Linked DNA regions of Oryctolagus cuniculus. The protein of the gene in region 4 interacts with the protein of the main gene of each other region in a biochemical or structural test. Links are inferred from orthologs where the notes say so. Each region holds a gene or a part of one and is shown on either strand. Other genes may lie near its edges. The genes, in order: GTF2B, BCL11B, BCL11A and NR2F1.

Region 1 (5,296 bases), on a different chromosome or scaffold from region 4:
CAGCACTCATGTGGAATGCTGGCATCACAGGCAGTGGCTCAACCTGCTACAGCACAACACCAGCCACAGTAAAGTTTTTTTAAAACAAGTAAATCTAGTTAAGTCACAAACTTTTCTTTACATATTAGGTATCCAAACATTTTTTCACTTTAGCACATTAAGTTGTGATTTCACAAAGCTGATACCAACTTTTCAAATAAGTTCTGAAGTTTAAAAATATGATAATTTAAATTAATAAATTATTTTGAATAATTAACATTCACTAATCATGTAACTTTACATTGATTATTAAAATAAAAATGGTGATACAAACTAAAAGTCTGGGTAAATGCTAGTCTAGGTCAGTGAGTCCTTGGTGATAAAATCTCGGTTTTGTGCAGTTGTATTTTAATCCCGGGATCACAAATAAAGGTAAAGGGGAATAACATTAATGAAATGCTTTATAAATGACTAATGCTATATTAACAAAAAGAAAAAGAGCGGCTTACATAGGCTGCCTGCTATTTTAGTAGGAATGAAACTTGTGGAAGGGTGTGATAGAGACACTGCAGGTGGGGAGCAGTGATGCAACCATTGCTCTGAAGCCCTCCTCTTGGGTTACCATTTCTCCAAGGGTTTGTTACTTCAGCAAATGTTACTGAATTTCTGCCTCCAGTCTACCAGGTGCCAGCTCCGTATTGGTAATCCTCGGGAATTGTTCCCTTGCCCTTTGCTCTTTTCTTCTTCCCTCAAGCCAAGAAACTCTCATAGAGAAAACTCACTACTAAGTATCCCCTAGGCCTTTCCCTGATTGAAGTGGGAGGTCATTTTGAAACTTTCCCAAATATTAAGGGGTGGGGGACACAAGCATACAAATTTTTAAATTCCAGAATGGAAGACTCAAAAAAAAAAATGCTCCCCTATTCCCATCCATATTTCAGTTTCTAAATTCCTGCTTCTCACACTTACTCTTCCCAAGAGTAAGTTTTCCCAAGAAAATGGAGTTAAAAGATTTATTTTGTTGGAAAAAATTGAAATTCATGCATAGTTTTTTCATCATATGCATTTTCAAGAACTTTTAAAAATCCTTTGTATGCATGGATTTCAAAATTCTATAAATCCCATTATCCATGAACTTTTTTGAAATCCTCTTGTATCTTCCACATTTAAAAAAAAAAAAAGGTGTGGTCAGCAGAGTTTAAGGCTCATTTTCTCAAAACAAAGCAGTTACTATATCCTCATCCTCATAGAAACAAGGAATCACCCTTTCTCCTCCAATCCCTACACTGTCAAGGGTGGCTTGCTTTCAGCAAACTGGTGGTGTTTTTGCTATTATTTGACCTTAATTTGGCTAATGAATACATCAAGGGACTTCTTGTGGCATCTAGGCGTTCTGCCAAGTTGTCTAAACTTAGCTATCAGCCAAATTTCCAAAGGCCATGAATAAAAGCCGTCAGGGCAGGGCCCATAGCTTCGTGCCTCCGGAGCACACAGTGCTGTCACATGGTTTTGTTTCATCTCCTGCCAATTCTGGAAGGGTATGCGAGGCAGATCCTAATACCCCCTGAGAAGACTCGGCGGCGTGGTGGCCGATGGCAGAGCCTGAATTGACATCCGCTTCGGATGACCTGAGTGAATCGCTCTCTTTATCCCAAATTCCTTAGTAATAGAGAACCACCCCTCGTGGCAAGTGAGAACCGCGTTTACACAGGGATAAATGGCAGGGAAGAGGGAGGGAGAGAGGCTGGGGTCAGCCCTCAGGGATGTGGGCTTTGCCCCCTCCACGAAGCCAGCGTTTTCTTCGCGCTTTAACTCGGTCAAATTGAAAAGGAGCCCGTTTGCAGGGTTCCCTTGAGACCTTCCCCGGGTAATTTCACAGACTCGCCGACCCACCTAGTAAACAACAGACGACATAAGAAAATGCAAAGCGTACGACACACAGGGACTCATTGTTCTTGGCCCTTCTCCCGACCCGTAGCCGCACCCTGTTACGACTGCGTGGCTGACTCGCCTATAAAAGCCCGTCTCGGGGCGTCTCGCCGCCACAGGCTCTTCCTGTTTCTGGCGTAGCAGTCGTCGCTCGGTGGTGGAACCGCAGCGGCCGTGAAGATGGCGTCCACAAGCCGGTTAGTAGGTCCCGCCGAGCGCGGCCAGCGAGCGCCGCGGATTCTGGGCGGCCGGCGGGGGCGGTCGCGTCTGACGAAGCGCCGGGAGGTATCGGGGAGCGGCGGCGGGGGCTGGCAGGCTGCCCCGGACAATGGCACTTCCATGCGGCAGGACTGTCAGGGCTGTCGCGGGGGTACCGAGCCGTCGACGTTACCGCCCGAGCGCCCTGGGTCATCTCTAACCCCAGATTCCATCCTGCGCGGGCCCCTGTATGCCCAGCCCCTTGTCCTCGCGTCTTGGGCGAAGATATCAGCCGTCTTTTTCCCTTGTTAATTTTTTCTACGCTTGTTTTTCCAATCCACGGCCCAACTGGCCTTAGAGTCCTCAGTTCCCCCCCCCCCCTTTTTTTTCTTTCAAAGAGCGGGAAACGTTTATCCTAGGCCCATATTGATCTGACAGCTAAAAAGTTGGAAACGTCAGCGCTGGTAAGCCGAAAGGAAACTGATTACCATCCCCGCGGCCCTCCCAGGGGAAGCCAGGAGAGGCTAGGGCTCATCCCAAGACTTGATTAGCCCCCTTGCTGAAGGATTGCGCTGCGAATGTTTTCGTCTGTATAATCCTGAAGAAAGTCTTGCCTGCAGAAAAAAATTACCTAGATATACTGAGATACTCTGTCATATATTTTGAAAACGTACTCATCTACAGGAAATGCATGCAGTGCCCTGCGAGGCAGCCTTTAATCATGTGACCTGAAAAACGCTTACAGACCCTAATTATGTCTCTCATTGCTGTTAGGGCAGATACTAGTATTTTTGCGTGAGTGTAAACTGAGTCATGGCCATGTTGACTTTTTCAAGGTTAGTGAGAGAGTGTAGTCTAAGACTCCTGTTTCCTGTTATATCACATGATCGGCCTATAGTTAATGCACTGTATTAAACATAGCAGATTAAGTTCTAAGCTTCTAGAGGCAACTGTGGCGGTTTTCTGAACCCATTATCATGTGCGGGGTGGATGCATTTCACCAGGGAACGCCATTGATCATAAAGTAAGCTAGGAAGGTCCAGGATAGACTCACCGTATTCTGGTAATAACATCAACGAAAAATGGGGGGGAGCAGTTTTTGCTAATGTCTGGAAATAACTCTTACTGCCCGTGACACCCTTGTTTATTGACTATAGTTCTGTGATTGAATGCTCAATCATAGTGTCTGGGTGTGGTTCTGTCAGGTAAGGCTTCCTTACAGATAAATGGAAAACTTCAGCTTCGCTAAATGAGGCTTACGTTCTCTCGTGAGTTATTTGGGAGGTAGCTATATCTGTGCACAGCGTTTGCATATACTGGAACAGGAAATTTTATCCGTAAAAAGCTAATGGTACACATAAAATAAAGTCACTGAATAGATTGTTTACACAAAGAATACACCAAACTTGAAATACAGATTTTTTTTTTCAGGCATATCCATCTCCTAAATTTACGCGTCATTGTGGTTCATCCATCTTTCAAGGTTTTCTACCTAGTGAAACAAAGTAAATGTTAGTGTTTCTACTTTTAGCCTCCCCCCCCCCCCACACAATGATTTACAGGCAGTAAAAATTGGTGTTCTCAACAGAGAAGAGCATGAATGTTCTGAGTTGAAAGTCTAAGCTCCACCACTTATCTTGTGACTTCAGGCAAGTCATAATCTTTAAAATGGTGATAATGCCTATTTTGTGGGATTGTAGAAAAGGTTGATGATATTCAGTGTATAGCACTAGGCAATTGATAGCCATAAAATGAGATTTGTGATTATATGGTGCCTTAGGTAGTCTAAACTGTTTTAACATCATTGGTGGTAGTTCTTTCCCTTGCTTCCGTATTTCTCTTTACTTCCTCCCCCACCACTGGGTTTTCCTCTTGTATGTTTTGTGTGATTACTGTAGTGTGATTTCATTTCACTTTAGCTGGGTGACACAGTACAAAAGCAAAATACCAGACTAGACAGTGAAAAGTAGTCTTGTTTTCTCCTAGCTCCCAGCATCTAATTCTCCCCAGAGCAACCATTGTTTTGTTTTGGTGTTTTCTTGGTGATTATGTTTTAACAAACATGCATGCAGTTTTGATCTCTTTTCACCCCAAAATGTAGCTGATGTAAACTGCTTTCACCTTACCTTTTGCCTGTTTTATGAACTTAGCATACAAAGTTCAAGTACACAACTCAGCTACAAAGTGAGGACATAGGCATAGCCACCACCCAGGTCAAGAAATCAAATAGTCCCAATGCACTAGCTAAGACAGTAACAAAGTCTCCTTTGTGTCCTTGGTCAGTGCCATGTCCCCAAGAAAGCCACATCCTGACTTCTACCTCCGTAGATTTGTTTCGCCCTTTTAAAGTTTATGAAAATGGCACAAGTATTCTGCTGTCTAGTTTCTTGGTCAGATTTTGAGATTCATCCATGTTATTGCATGTAAGTAGCTCAGGCATTTTTAGTGTTGAATAGACTCTATCTTCACTTAACATGTCTTTGAGGTTCCATGTCATTTATACAATACTTTAAGGTTTTCTGTATAGTTTTTAATAGCACGGAAATCTTATGTCAATCCTTTAGATACTGTGTTCCATATGTCATCCTGTACTGCTGATTTGTACTTATTCTAGTGCTTCAACGTAGTTTTTTTTTTTAAATAATTTATGCCAACTGCTTAATTTTGTCACATTTTATTGAAATGTTAAGGAATCTATTTAATAGGCTGAATTTAAGCTATATCTGGCCCCATTTTCCTAGTTAGAAAATACAATACCTGTTCTGGTTAATTTGACTATATAAATTTGGGAGATACGGATTTTTTTTTTTTTTTTTTTTTTTTTTAGTTTTCTAATAGATATCACCTTCCAAGTTGAGAGTGAACATCCTGAATTATATTTTAAGTACAAGAAGAATGTTTATCCATAGCCATAAATATCCTATTTATACACTATAAGAATATTGATTTTAGTCTTTTAGGTGTATTTTTGTGATAGCTATAACAAATATTTTCTGTATTACTTTTTTTAAATGTGTTCTTTTCAATAATAGAGAATCTGTGGTTGTGAGTTTGTACCACCTGAAATAATGATTAACTCTGTTAAAAATGGTTGTTGCTTTTAAATTTGATTCTATCAAGTGATTTCAGGTTAATATGTCTTCCCCAAACTGATGTATTGTTTTTTGTTTGTTTGTTTTAAGATTTTATT
Region 2 (4,671 bases), on a different chromosome or scaffold from region 4:
TTTGCCCTGCCCCCTTCCGGTGGGGGTGGGGAGCGCTGCTTGGAAATGTCCAGCCCTGGTGACCAGGGACAGAGGGTGCTGCTGGCACCCAGCAGGTGCAGGCTGGAGTCCTGCTGTGCATCCCAGGTGGCACGGGACAGCCCCCAGGACTCCACCAGAGGCCCACCCAGTCCATGTGGTCCAGGTGGTTCCACACACACAGGGGCCCGGATGGCTCAGTGCACCCGCTGGTCTTTTATACCGGGTCAGGCACCTCCCAGACACCCAGAGGATGCAAGGCCCCCCACCTGGAGAGGCTAGGCCCAGGCGTAGCCCCAGGTGGCCTGTGCGCCAGGTGAGGACCCGGCCCCACCCGCCCGCCCACCTGCGCCCACCTGCGCCCCCCTGCCGCGACTCACGGCCTCTCTGACCTTGCTCTCCGCGTGTCTCCCCAGGTAAAGATGAGCCTTCCAGCTACATTTGCACAACATGCAAGCAGCCCTTCACCAGCGCGTGGTTCCTGCTGCAGCACGCGCAGAACACGCACGGCTTCCGCATCTACCTGGAGCCCGGGCCGGCCAGCAGCTCGCTCACGCCGCGGCTCACCATCCCGCCGCCGCTGGGGCCCGAGGCCGTGGCGCAGTCGCCCCTCATGAACTTCCTGGGCGACAGCAACCCCTTCAACCTGCTGCGCATGACGGGCCCCATCCTGCGCGAGCACCCGGGCTTCGGCGAGGGCCGCCTGCCCGGCACGCCGCCGCTCTTCAGCCCGCCGCCGCGCCACCACCTGGACGCGCACCGCCTGAGCGCCGAGGAGATGGGGCTCGTGGCCCAGCACCCCAGTGCCTTCGACCGAGTCATGCGCCTGAACCCCATGGCCATGGACTCGCCCGCCATGGACTTCTCGCGGCGGCTGCGCGAGCTGGCGGGCAACAGCTCCACGCCGCCACCCGTGTCGCCAGGCCGCGGCAACCCTATGCACCGGCTCCTGAACCCCTTCCAGCCCGGCCCCAAGTCCCCGTTCCTCGGCACGCCGCCGCTGCCGCCCATGCCCCCCGGCGGCACGCCCCCGCCGCAGCCGCCGGCCAAGAGCAAGTCGTGCGAGTTCTGCGGCAAGACGTTCAAGTTCCAGAGCAATCTGATCGTGCACCGCCGCAGCCACACGGGCGAGAAGCCCTACAAGTGCCAGCTGTGCGACCACGCGTGCTCGCAGGCAAGCAAGCTCAAGCGCCACATGAAGACGCACATGCACAAGGCGGGCTCGCTGGCCGGGCGCTCGGACGACGGGCTGTCGGCCGCCAGCTCGCCCGAGCCCGGCACCAGCGAGCTGGCGGGCGACGCGCTCAAGGCGGCCGACGGCGACTTCCGCCACCACGAGAGCGACCCGTCGCTGGGCCCCGAGCCCGAGGAGGAGGACGAGGAGGAGGAGGAGGAGGAGGAGGAGCTGTTGCTGGAGAACGAGAGCCGGCCCGAGTCGAGCTTCAGCATGGACTCGGAGCTGAGCCGCAACCGGGAGAACGGCGGCGGCGGCGGCGGCGCGCTGGGCGCGGGGCTGGGCGCGGGGCTGGGCGCGGGCGCGGGCGGCGGGCCCGGGCTGCCGGGCGCGGGCGGCGCGGCCAAGGCGCTGGCCGACGAGAAGGCGCTGGTGCTGGGCAAGGTCATGGAGAACGTGGGCCTGGGCGCGCTGCCGCCGCCCTACGGGGAGCTGCTGGCCGACAAGCAGAAGCGCGGCGCCTTCCTGAAGCGCGCGGTGGGCGCGGGCGGCGACCCCGGCGGCGGCGGCGGCGGCGGCGGCGAGGACGACGCGGGCGACGCGGGCGCGGGCGGCGCGGTCAACGGGCGCGGGGGCGGCTTCGCGCCGGCGGCCGCCGAGCCCTTCCCGGGGCTCTTCCCGCGCAAGCCCGCGCCGCTGCCCAGCCCCGGGCTCAACAGCGCGGCCAAGCGCATCAAGGTGGAGAAGGACCTGGAGCTGCCGCCCGCCGCGCTCATCCCCTCCGAGAACGTGTACTCGCAGTGGCTCGTGGGCTACGCCGCGTCGCGCCACTTCATGAAGGACCCCTTCCTGGGCTTCACCGACGCGCGCCAGTCGCCCTTCGCCACGTCGTCGGAGCACTCGTCCGAGAACGGCAGCCTGCGCTTCTCCACGCCGCCCGGGGACCTGCTGGACGGCGGCCTGTCCGGGCGCAGCGGCACGGCCAGCGGCGGCAGCACGCCGCACCTGGGCGGCCCGGGCCCCGGGCGGCCCAGCTCCAAGGAGGGCCGCCGGAGCGACACGTGCGAGTACTGCGGCAAGGTGTTCAAGAACTGCAGCAACCTCACCGTGCACCGCCGCAGCCACACGGGCGAGCGGCCTTACAAGTGCGAGCTGTGCAACTACGCGTGCGCGCAGAGCAGCAAGCTGACTCGCCACATGAAGACGCACGGGCAGATCGGCAAGGAGGTGTACCGCTGCGACATCTGCCAGATGCCCTTCAGCGTCTACAGCACCCTGGAGAAACACATGAAGAAGTGGCACGGCGAGCACTTGCTGACGAACGACGTCAAGATCGAGCAGGCCGAGCGCAGCTGAGCGCAGGCGCGCGCGCGCGCCCGTGCGCCCCGCACCTGCGCGCCCGCCGCCCCGCGCGCGCGCCCGACCCGTGTCTGCCAAGTCGCACGGAGACCCGAGGGTTGATGGAGGCACTGAACATTGTGGAGCCTTTTAACTGTGCAATAATTTCTGTATTTATTGGGTTTTGTAATTTTTTTTTTGGCATGTGCAGGTACTTTTTTTTTTTTTTTAATTATTATTCTCTTCTGTTTAAATTCCTTTAAGAAATTTTGTTGGGTATCCGTCCCTTCTTCGTTTTTTTTTTTTTTTTTTTTTTAAAACAAACAAACCCCGTAGTAGCCTGAGCAATGACTCGCAAGCAGTGTGGAGGGAGCCGAATGTTTTAAATTATAATTTGGGGTAGGGGCGCTGCTTTTTTGAGATTTAAGCTAAGCATGTGTAATTTCTTGTGAAGAAGCCAACACTTCAACGATTTTGAAGTTGTTTACTATTTTATTCCTTCCTTTTTACATTTTTTTGGCCTGAAATGAAATGTGGCATGCGGTTTCTGCCTTTTGTTTTGTTTCGTTTTGGGGGCATGTCAGCGGATAACAATCCCTAACGTTGTAGCACTTTGTTTCAGAAGTGGAATGGAGGCGCAGCCCAGGAGCTCCGACTCACAGAGGCCTTTTCTGTGTTCACTTCAGCTCTCACCGTTCTGTAAGGGAAACTTGGGGGGCGGCACCCCAAACTCAGCACCCCCCACCACCACCACGGGGGGGGCGGGCGGAGAGGGGTCTGAAGCTGGGTGTTGCCCACAGATGCTGTCCTGGGTGCCCTCTCTGCTCTGTGCCCCAGGGGAGGCCAAACCACGGCCCGGCCCCCTGTGGGTCAGTGGCCTGTAAGTGAGTTCTTTCTGGCCACTTCTGGCCCCACAGGCCCTCTCCCCCAACTCCCACCACGGAAGCCCCATGTCCCACGGTGCCAGCAGTGGTGGCCGATCCTTTGCCGGGAAGTCACGTGGCCTGGTAGCCAGGGGAGGCAGTCGGTGCACGCTGAGCTGGCCGGGCTGCAGGGACAGGGGGAGGAACCCTAGGAATTTCTGCCCTTTCTCCGGAAGAGCAAGGGGAGAGACCCCGCCACTGGGGCCCCCCGTGCTGCTTCCCAGTTTTCCCCCTCTCGTTAGGTTGGAAGGAGCTCAGCATTGGACTGTTAAGATTAGACATTTGGATTCTGTTGACCCGCACTTTAAAAGCTTTTGTTTGCATTTAAATTCAATGGCTTCTAAACAAGAAATTGCAACATATTCTTCTCTTTGGCCCAGAGGTGGGTTGAACTCTAAGGGACAGCGAGATTGAGTGTCAGTGTTGCTAAGCGTGGCATTCACAATGCTGGCACTATAAAGAACAAAATCAAGTTACTTGCTGGACAGTTCTGCTGCCACCCAATCTGACGTGAGTGCCTTGAAAACTGATCTTCCTATCCGAGTCTCTTGAGACAAATGCAAAATTTTTTTTTTTTTGAAATGAAAGGACTTTTTAAAAAAGTAAAACGAGAAAAGCCACATTTACTTTAAATTAAAAAAAAAAATCCTGGTTGAAGAGAGAGGACATGAAAATGCCATAGAAGACCCAATCAAATGAAGAAATAAACCCAGCACAACCTTGGACATCGCGAGCTGAACTGTACACAACCCCTTTTGCATTTGGGACAACGCTGCTTAGATGTGGAGCGGAGGTAACTTACTGCTGAACTTACATGTTGCTATCGTTGAATGAAAATAAAAACAATTCAGGAACAACGGCTAATTTTTTCTAAAGTTAAATTTAGTGCACTCTGTCTTAAAAATACGTTTACAGTATTGGATACATACAAGGGTAAAAAAAATTGTGTGTATGTGTGTTGGAGCGATCATTTTTTTTTTCAAAGTTTGCTTACTAGGTTATACAAAATGCCACAGCGGCTGCGTGTATATTGTTTTCTTTTGGTGACGGGGTTTTAGTATATATTATATATATTAAAATTTCTTGATTACTGTAAAAGTGGACCAGTATTTGTAATAATCGAGAATGCCTGGGCATTTTACAAAACAAGAAAAAAAAACTTTTCTTTTCCTTGAAAATGTTGCAGTAAAATTTAAATGGTGGGTCTATAAATTTGTT
Region 3 (4,671 bases), on a different chromosome or scaffold from region 4:
CGACGAGTGACTGGATGATGGTAGTGGTGGTATCTTTACATTTTAACTACAGTGCTGTGTATTTTTCTCCAAAACTAGGAGAAAATGGGTAGAAATCATGTCTGTGTTATGCCTACATACGTGTATGTACACATGTATGCATATGTATCGTCATCCCTCAGTATCTGCAGGGGATCGGGTCTAGGACCTCTTGGATACAGAATCCATGGGTGCTACATAAAATGGCATAGTATTTTCTTACAACCCACACACATCCTCCTGCGTACTTTAAATCACCTCTAAACTACTTACAATACCACGCACAATGTAAATGCTCAATAAATGGCTGTGAGGCTGTGTTGTTTAGGGAGTGACAACAGCAAGTCTGTTCATGTTCAGTACAGAGGTCATTCCTTTTTTTTCCTGAATATTTTCGATCCCTGATGGGTTACTGTGCAGATGCTGAGCCCACAGATACAGAGGGCAGCCTGTATATGCTTATACTTGCACATACGTGATGTGCCAGGTATATGTAGAAGTATGCCACGTTCAAATACAAATGTAAATGCATCAATAAAATGCAGCAGAGTGACTGCCAACGGACTCCTTTTGGGTCTGGAGTCTGCTGGAGGTGGACATCGTGGAATAATCCCAAGTCCTCCGTGAGGCCCGGGAGTGAGTGTCCAGCTATAACATAGACTCTGCACACACAGCTGTATCCAGTCCCCAGCCTGGAGCCAGCCAAGACCCTGGGGAGCAGACCCACAAGGGAGAGCTGCTGTCAGCTCCGTGCCTGCAGTGAGCAGAGGGAAAAAGGAGAAGGGGAAAGTCACTCTTGGGGCTGAGTGGAGCCAGGGAGCGGGTGCCAAGTGAGTAATGGAATAATGCATCTGCGGGTGCCAGCCTATTTTGGAAGTAACTCCCTTCAGTACTTAAAAAGTAAGGGTAATTTCCAGCAACTCCCATCTCTATACACACGGACACTTGTAGAAGAAATAATGCTCAACTTACAAATACCCTGCGTGGCGTACTCTGCGCTCATCCCGGGCGTGGGGATTAGAGCTCCGTGTGCAGACCGAGGGGAAGCCAGGCCCCTCCAGTGCAGAAGTTTATCTGTGAAAGAAACCCAACATCAGGAGCTGCAGCCACAAACAACACACAAACGACAGGACAGCACATCGCGGTTCCATCAACACAGAGTAACATCATCGAACAGCCTTGCACATAGTGAACAGGCCCAAAGCCTGAGCAAAAGAACAGAGGTGAGTGACTTCCCCCAGTTTTTGTTTTGTTTTCAACCCTGGCCTTTTTTGGCTAAAGGAAACAGGCTTCTTACAGGTATGGTGGGAGAGTCTTTGGTTCACCTGTTCGTGGCTGTTTGATTATTCTCTTACGGTAAGAGATGCGCAGCAAGGAGAAAGTGGGGGATACCACAGGTAGGTCGGCAAAATGGGGAGACCTCCCTGCAAGGCTGGTTCCCAGGCATACATTACTTTAAAGACAAACACAAACAAAGAACAATATGCTCATAAAATGAGTGGATTTACCAACCATTTTTTTTAATAGGATGAAGTCCCACTCTCCCTTCCCCAACACATTGCCCGCTCCCCCCCAACTATATTTATGATATGACCTTCAGTGACAAGGAAATTTGGGCATTTTAGGAGTTGGCAGGTCACCTTCTAGAATCCTACCCACAGGGTAGTGGGTGTAGGCATCACTTCTCACAACACACAGCACTGGAGAATAAAGGATTAACATAGCTTTGGCCCAGGACCCCCTTGAGAGTGAGGAATTAAAGCATTAAAGAATAAGGCAAGAACCCATGTGCAGTAACAGTCACATCCAGAAACCACAGCCTACCGTCCCAGGTCCTCGGCTCCTGTGGCACTCTAGTTAGGACAGGTGACTTCTTGCACTAACAATCATGAACCTAGCAATCAATCAAGCATTTCCGGCACTGATATATTTATTTGTAAGGGAAGTAATTGGTTTGTGCCCCCTGAGATCCTGGTTTTTCCAAATCCAGCTTCCACAAACTGACCAAGTGGATATCCACTGTGAGGAGGAGTGGAGGGTGGACAGGGTAGGGGACACTCCCTATGTTCTGGAGGCCTGCAGTGTGTGATGACTAGGAGAGGTGAGAGAGAAGAAAAACAGATTTCGAGGGTGAGCAGAGAGTATGTTTTCCATTAGCTTAATATTAAGAGAACTTCGAAGTGTGTTGTTGTGCTCCAGGATAGCAGGTGTCCGGTGTAAAACCACATCCTGTTCTCCTTATACACACCTCAATGCCAAGTGCAGCCAGGGTAGTTGGGACAAGGTCTCCTTTCATGAGCAGCCGGTGGGTAACAGCAATGTGTTGCTCGAGACAGCTCTTACAGTACAGAAAGCATAAATCTATTGTCAGCAGACCTGCAGTGGAGGCACGACCCAGCCTGAGACCATCTAGAGGCATTTCCTCCGCCCCGACCCAACACACAATAACAACCACAAAAGGAACCAGCAAATGCAGGAAAACCAGACTCAGAGACCAAGTGTGTCTACATCTGACTATCCATGTTAAATGAATTCAGAGTACGGAGTAAAATTAACGACAGATTTAGTCCTAGTAGTTTTCAACAAGAAATCTGAGAATCCATTTTTGCACTTGTTCTTGCCTTGGCTGTTTAATAAGTTTGCTTGCTGCCAAGACTGAAATCCTTTTCTTAGGAAACCCATACAACTGAGGTATCTCTGTGACCTCAGCTTAAGGTCCTTAGACATCCTGCATGCAGAGAGTCTAATTTCAAATTCCCTGCCACTTAACCACGCCAGGGAACCCTAAGGTGCTTCGAAAGGCCTCCTGCGAGAACTGCTAACCTACCCAGCTCAGCCATTAGCATGGCTCTCCAACTGGCAAACTCATCCGCACCCTGAGCGGCTGCAGCCACCGGATCACGCAGCAAAGGGCGGCCTCACCCTTGACAGCATCTCTGCATCTGTCTTCACAGCTTGCTTCCTTTCTAAAGATTTACTGTGTTTATTTATTTGAAACACAACAGTGACAGAGAGATCTTCCATCCACTGTGTCACTCCCCAGATGCCCACAACAGCTGAGGCTGAGCCAGGCCAAAGCCAGGAGCCAGGAGCTCCATCTGAGCACCCCATGTGGGTGGCAGGGATCCATGTCCTTGGGTGATTGTCTGGTGTACCCCAGGTGCATTAGCAGGAAGCTGAATCAGAAGCGGCGGCGGGACTCAAACTAGGGACTCCAGTATGGGTTGGGGGAGTCCCAAGAGGCAGCTCTACAATGCCTACTGTTTTTTGATTTTTTTAAATGTTGGTTAAAAAAAAAAAAAACACCTTAGTGCTCCTCCAATCTGTGCCTAATTTCACAGGTGGGGAAACAGGGTCTTGAGAAATCAAGTGACGTGCCAGTGGCTGTACTGACAGTTCATCACCAAGCGAAGATTAAAACCAGTCTCTGACCACTGCTCTCTCCCGGCACATCTACTCCACCCTCTGCTGACCCTGCCTTGGTCCTCACTGCCCAAGAAATGCCACGAAGGAGGCTTCTCCATCTATTCATCCATTCACCTCTCAGCGGAAGGAAGAGCAGCCCAGCCCAGCAGTGTCCAGTGGGGCCTTCCAAAGGTCCCCATGGAATAGGAGGAGGAGGAGGAAGGGTGGGAGTGCAAGTGGGGGGGGGGGGTGGGTGGGCGGGGAGAATCACTATGTTCCTAAATTTGTGTTTATGAAGTTTGTATACCTTAAATAAAATGTTTCTGGGGAAAAGAAAGGACTGAAATAAAAAAAAAAAAAGATTCCAATGAACTGGGTTTCACAACTAGAAAATAGAGCCTGTTCTGCCACCTTGGGGCCCCTGGACTCACTTCCACAGTCCTCCTCCTCTAACTGCTTCCCCTGCAGAATTAGCCCACTAAAGGAAAACAAACCATGTCTCAGCCTGACAAGCCATTCACATAAGCAGACTTTGTGCAGAAGCTGAGGCCGGCCTTGATCTCCCTCCAGGAAGAGGGACAAAGCAAAGCCACATGGGCACCCGGCTTATTCTTGCTGCTTCTTCCACCAAACGTGTTCCTAACCGTCTCCTCGGGAAGTAGAATGGGAGTTCCCACGAGGACTGGAAATGTACATGTGAACAGCCTCCCTAGGGTTTAACTTCCTGCTACGATGCCTTCAATCATTTCATCATGGCCTAGGCCAAGCAAAGTCGTCACAAAGAACGCTTCCAAGGATCAAACTCAAGGAGCAGCTCTGCCTTCCGAGGTTGGGGACTGGGAGGTGCAGCACTGGCTGGGTGCTCTTGCTAACCCCACGCCTCTCATTCTCCCCAGGGGCAAATGGTCTCGGCAGCTGGCTGGGAAGCGGGTGTCTACTTCTGCCCTCTTCTCTGGTGCTCTCAGCAAAGTGCTCTCAGAGCACAGATCTGGGCCCAGCAGCATCACCTGGGAGCTTGTTGGAAGGGCAAATGCTTGGGCCCCACCTCAGACTTACCGAACAAGAAACTAGGGTGGAGGGGGCTATGGGAAGCAACAGTCGCTGTGGCGTGCGTGAGCCCTCCCGGAGATTCTGATGCACAACCAAGTACAATAAGCCCTGCCTCGGTGCGGGTGGGGGAGCCAGAAGCGCTGATGCTCCCAGCAGAGACGCCCAGGTACTGCCCCTTCTGTCTGGGGCCTTCAGTCA
Region 4 (4,671 bases):
GGCTGCAGGTTGCAGTGGCACCGCGCAGGACAGACATTAATTATATTTCCCACTTTTTTCAATAATGTTTGGCTACTGTAAGTTCAACTTTTCTCTTGGAAATTTTCAATTTTCTGTTGCTTTTAATAGTGAGAACTTTGTATGGGGCGATGGGGAGGAGGGGAGAAGAGAAGGGTGCAGGATACTTGCTGTCTACTCAGAAGTTGTAAGTGCTTAGTAGGATGTGTAACTGGTATCTATTTTAACGGTAATTCTGCAGCATTTTTTAGAGAATGGGTTTTTTTGCCTAACACTGCTAGCTTGTGGATGAAGAGGCCGCTGGGCATGCGTTTATTCGCCTAGAACCACAACCTTTCTCCAGTTTCGCCTCTTTTTTTTTTTTCTTCCTTGACCCCGATTTGTTTCATTCCGGAGGGGGTGAGTGGGGTGGGGTGTCCTTTATCTGTGTGTTCCTCCTTGGTAGCCCAGGGTTTGGGTGGCACTTCCTTGGCCACGCGGAGCTGGGGGCTCTGAAGTCAGGCCTAGTTCTGGCGGGGCTGAGGTGGCCAGGGGCTCGGGCGATGGCTGGACGGACACCCCGAGCCCTGGCGCTGGAGGACCGAGCCCCGGCTCGCACGGTGTGGGCCGGGAGTGGGAGCCAGCAGGAGAGGCGCGGGGCGCCTGTGGCTGCGGGCAGAGCTGCTGCATTGTGTCGGGTGCGCTGCGGCGCGGCGTTGTTCGCAAGCCCCCTGGATGCACATTGCCTCTTTTCTCTCTGTCTCTCCGTCAGCGGTTCAGCGAGGAAGAATGCCTCCTACCCAGCCCAATCCAGGCCAGTACGCACTCACCAACGGGGACCCCCTCAACGGCCACTGCTACCTGTCTGGCTACATCTCGCTGCTGCTGCGCGCCGAGCCCTACCCAACGTCGCGCTACGGCAGCCAGTGCATGCAGCCCAATAACATCATGGGCATCGAGAACATTTGCGAGCTGGCCGCGCGCCTGCTCTTCAGCGCCGTCGAGTGGGCCCGCAACATCCCCTTCTTCCCGGACCTGCAGATCACCGACCAAGTGTCCCTGCTGCGTCTCACCTGGAGCGAGCTATTCGTGCTCAACGCGGCCCAGTGCTCCATGCCGCTGCACGTGGCGCCGCTGCTGGCAGCCGCCGGCCTGCACGCCTCGCCCATGTCCGCCGACCGCGTCGTGGCCTTCATGGACCACATCCGCATCTTCCAGGAGCAAGTGGAGAAGCTCAAGGCGCTGCACGTCGACTCGGCCGAGTACAGCTGCCTCAAGGCCATCGTGCTGTTCACGTCAGGTGAGGCTGCGCCCGCGCGGAGGGCAGGCCGCGCCGGGAGCGAGCGCAGGCTCCGCGCCGCCGCCGCCGCCGCCACCGCCCGCGGGGCCTGGCTACCCGCGCCGCCGCCGCAGCCGCCGCCGCTGCGGGTGCGGGCGCACGAGGCCCGGCCCTTGCCGGATCGTGGGCCTGACCTGGGTCTGCGGCCCCGGCGCGGGGACGCGGCCGGGCCGCGCTGCTGCCATCTTGGGAGCGCTGCGGTGCGGGAGCCGAGGCGGCCGCCGGGGCTTACCAGGGCCTAGGTGGCCTGGCCCCCCGCGCGGGGCCGCGGCTGCGGTGGATGCGCGTGTGCGGAGAGGGGGAGGCGATGCCGCGGGCCTGCCTGGCTGCTCTGGTGTGCGGGGTGTGTGTGTGCGGGATGCGTGTGTGTGTGTGTGTGTGCGCGCGCGCGTGTGTGTGTGTGTGTGTGAGCCCGAGCTCAGCGTTTCTGGGGGAGGAGAGGGGAGGGAAGAGAACGTGGAGCTGTAGCTTCCTACTCCGTGTGCCACGCGCCGGGGATGAGTTTCCCCACACAGAGAGACACAGAGAGAGAGAGAGGAGGGAAGAGAAGAATACGCACAAATAAATCATAAATAATCCCGCTTTATGGCTGCCTGATTTTCCCTTATCGGAAACCATTCATGTTTGCAGTTTCTGAGGTTATTGAGGGTCATAAAAAACGGATTCGATCTAAACAAGAAAGATAAAAAACAAAAGCAAGATTGTAGAACCCGCAAGGATGGGTGCCTTCCCGGCCCGGAGATAAATTTCATAGCTATGCCAAACACACGAACGCTGGAAACCTAAAGGAGAGCCTTCAAAATATATCGAATTAAGTGGAGGCAGCGGTCACATGCATGTTAACAATTTCTCTTATGATAGATGGTTCAAATTAACTTCCAGGAAAGAGCATTAACGTTGCCTTTGAAGGCCTCGGGTCTGAGCCTCTGCGAACACTGCCGGCCTTTTATTATTGTAACCTGCAAGAGGCAAACATATAAACACCCGGGACAGCAGGTAATGGGGGGAGGGAATATAAACAAAGCCAGAAAGGAGGCTGGTGGGGAGCAGACTGGGTCTTGAGCCCTGCCCACTGTGGGTAGAGTTAGCGGCTGTTCTGCCACTGTTGTTGGCACTATTGTTTGTAATTCCTCCATCCGGAGAACAAATGCACCATCCTCATAAATCCATCCTGGGGCCAGGCCCTCCAAAGGCCAGATGAAACCCGTTCTTGAGCAGAGATGGAAAAAACCCCTTTCCCAAGGCCTTGCTGAGCAGTAAGCAGTGGTCTCATCTATCAATATATCTTGGCTTTCATGCGTGAAGAATCGTATTTACATTGTATTAAAATGACTCTTAAATTTGCACAATATTGTAATGTAGCAAATGTAGTATTAATATCGATCTGAGCAGCAGATAATTTATTTAGACAAGAGCGTCTCATTTGTATGCAGGGTGGCCAGAGCCATGGACCTAAGCTGCCCCTTTTACTTTCAGTGCAAATGCAGGTCTGCCTGTGAGAGAGGGAGTTATTCTTTGCGAAAGGATAGAGTGTGAACCTTAAAACAAATGGAAGATTTATTGAATAGCCTCCTCGGTGTTTGAATGCATTTTATCTTAATAAGTCTTCTTGATGGAAACGTGTTTTTCAAAAGTGACAAAGAGCCCGGGAAGCAGCGACCAGAATGCTTTAGCTCTGGCAGGCCTGGGGGCCTGGCTGGCTCTGCGCTACCCAGCTCTTTAGCCAAATTTATCAGGAAGCAAGCCAGTGTCAGGGAAGCTGGGGGTTGAAAATCGCATCCAGCGAGGTGTCTTGAAGCAGAAATGTTAACTTGGAGCTGGACAGAGGTCTACCGGAGAAAGGCCTCCCCTCCCCTTAGCCTTTCTCCCCCTAAGGGTCTTTGAACCCCCTTGACTTTGCTGATCTCCTGCCCTTTCCCAGAGAGAGAGCCGAGGACTGTGCAGGCTGCAGGGGGAACATGGTGGAATTATTCATGCTTTTTCTTTTAACTTTCCGTCCTAAAACACTCCTGTGAAAAGTGCTCCTTTTAAAAAGTTTCCCAAAGAAGTTTCCTTGAACCAAGTGTTCAAGGTGCAGGGGGTGCCTAGAAGTGAACAATAACATTATTTTGTTGGAGAATTGAAAGCGGAATATCTGAAAATGGAAATAGAGCTGTCAGTAGTAATTCACCCCTCCTCCTCCCTACAACACGTTTCCACTTTTGACTAAACTTGTTTTGATTGCCAGCCAGAAGGGAATTCATGGGAAGCCTTCTCAAAGTCATCCAACTTTTAAGCAAACTTTGAATGATGGAAAAGACAGTTTTAGACATATTGTCCAACGTGGTTTGCTCTGGTTAAGTATTTGAAGCTGGCACGGGGGTCCCCCGTGGTGGTTTTCACATTTGGCCTCCGGATGCTATGTTTAATCCTTAATATTCTGGACAGCATCCAAGGACTAGGTCATGACCTGAACTTACTTTTTTTAAAAAAATTTTTTTCATTAATTCACACACCTAAATATTCCTTCAAATAAATGAGACCTTCTCTGAAAAGAGCCATCTAGTTAACATAAATACAATAAATCCATTTTCTGTACAATAATAACTTTGATTTCTAGTTATGGCAGCTGATTACATCTACATTTCCTGAACACTAAACTCTTGTGAATGCACAACATGAAATACATTCTCTGCACTACAAAGGCTAAGCCAGGAGGGCCTCGGCAGTAATGGTTATTTATTTACATAATTTCTTTTCCATACACTGTAGAAGAAATATTGAGGGTTCCCACATTGACACTACCATATAAAAAGTGAGACATGGATTGTGCACATTCTGCCTCCTTTTCTTATCTGGAGTATAACTCACACACACCCCCCGCCCCCGCTCACCTCGCTTTGCCACCATAACCCACCCCCCAGTTGATCTGAGGGCTCTTGCCTTCTGTCCACAGTTGGGGGAATCCTGTGTGTTGGGGGGTGGGGGCAGTGAATGAATACTCAGAGTAGGAAGCCAGGCCAGAACCAGGGCTCTTGCCGGAAGGAGGCCACAGGGCTGGCCGGCTGGTACCTGGCAGGTGGGCCCAGCTACAGACCTCCCACCTCCCAAGGAGGAAAGAAACCGAAGGAGCTAGCATAAGGCCTAAGCACACTTTAACTGGGCTTCTCCCTTGGAGTGGCTTATCCAGGAGTTGGGGAAGTGACCTTGCTCTCTGGGGATTTTAGTTGTAAATATCAGAGAAATATTTTACTAATTGGAAGGGATGCCAAATGGGTCTTTAAAAAAACCTGCTGGGGTATAAGTGGGTCCTTTTCCTTTTGCATTGTGTGGGCCTGAAAGTGATTCCTGGCATA

The links.
Region 1: the proteins of NR2F1 (region 4) and GTF2B form a complex in vitro, tested with the Homo sapiens proteins (2 studies listed by BioGRID and IntAct). The link is inferred for Oryctolagus cuniculus from reciprocal best matches to the Homo sapiens genes NR2F1 and GTF2B.
Region 2: the proteins of NR2F1 (region 4) and BCL11B form a complex in vitro, tested with the Homo sapiens proteins (2 studies listed by BioGRID). The link is inferred for Oryctolagus cuniculus from reciprocal best matches to the Homo sapiens genes NR2F1 and BCL11B.
Region 3: the proteins of NR2F1 (region 4) and BCL11A form a complex in vitro, tested with the Homo sapiens proteins (2 studies listed by BioGRID). The link is inferred for Oryctolagus cuniculus from reciprocal best matches to the Homo sapiens genes NR2F1 and BCL11A.

The regions. Positions count from the first base shown.
Region 1 is NC_091438.1:82,091,931-82,097,226, forward strand, and holds the start of GTF2B (transcription initiation factor IIB), read left to right. Parts: upstream 1-1,950; 5' UTR 1,951-2,088; coding exon 2,089-2,105; intron 2,106-5,296. UniProt on the Homo sapiens protein: General transcription factor that plays a role in transcription initiation by RNA polymerase II (Pol II). Involved in the pre-initiation complex (PIC) formation and Pol II recruitment at promoter DNA.
Region 2 is NC_091451.1:43,080,495-43,085,165, reverse strand, and holds part of BCL11B (B-cell lymphoma/leukemia 11B), read left to right. Parts: intron 1-434; coding exon 435-2,548; 3' UTR 2,549-4,671. UniProt on the Homo sapiens protein: Key regulator of both differentiation and survival of T-lymphocytes during thymocyte development in mammals.
Region 3 is NC_091433.1:142,192,829-142,197,499, reverse strand, and holds part of BCL11A (B-cell lymphoma/leukemia 11A), read right to left. Parts: intron 1,093-4,671; coding exon 991-1,092; intron 1-990. UniProt on the Homo sapiens protein: Transcription factor. Associated with the BAF SWI/SNF chromatin remodeling complex. Binds to the 5'-TGACCA-3' sequence motif in regulatory regions of target genes, including a distal promoter of the HBG1 hemoglobin subunit gamma-1 gene.
Region 4 is NC_091445.1:16,209,415-16,214,085, forward strand, and holds part of NR2F1 (COUP transcription factor 1), read left to right. Parts: exon of another isoform or gene 1-64; coding exon of another isoform or gene 65-77; intron 78-769; coding exon 770-1,297; intron 1,298-4,671. UniProt on the Homo sapiens protein: Coup (chicken ovalbumin upstream promoter) transcription factor binds to the ovalbumin promoter and, in conjunction with another protein (S300-II) stimulates initiation of transcription. Binds to both direct repeats and palindromes of the 5'-AGGTCA-3' motif.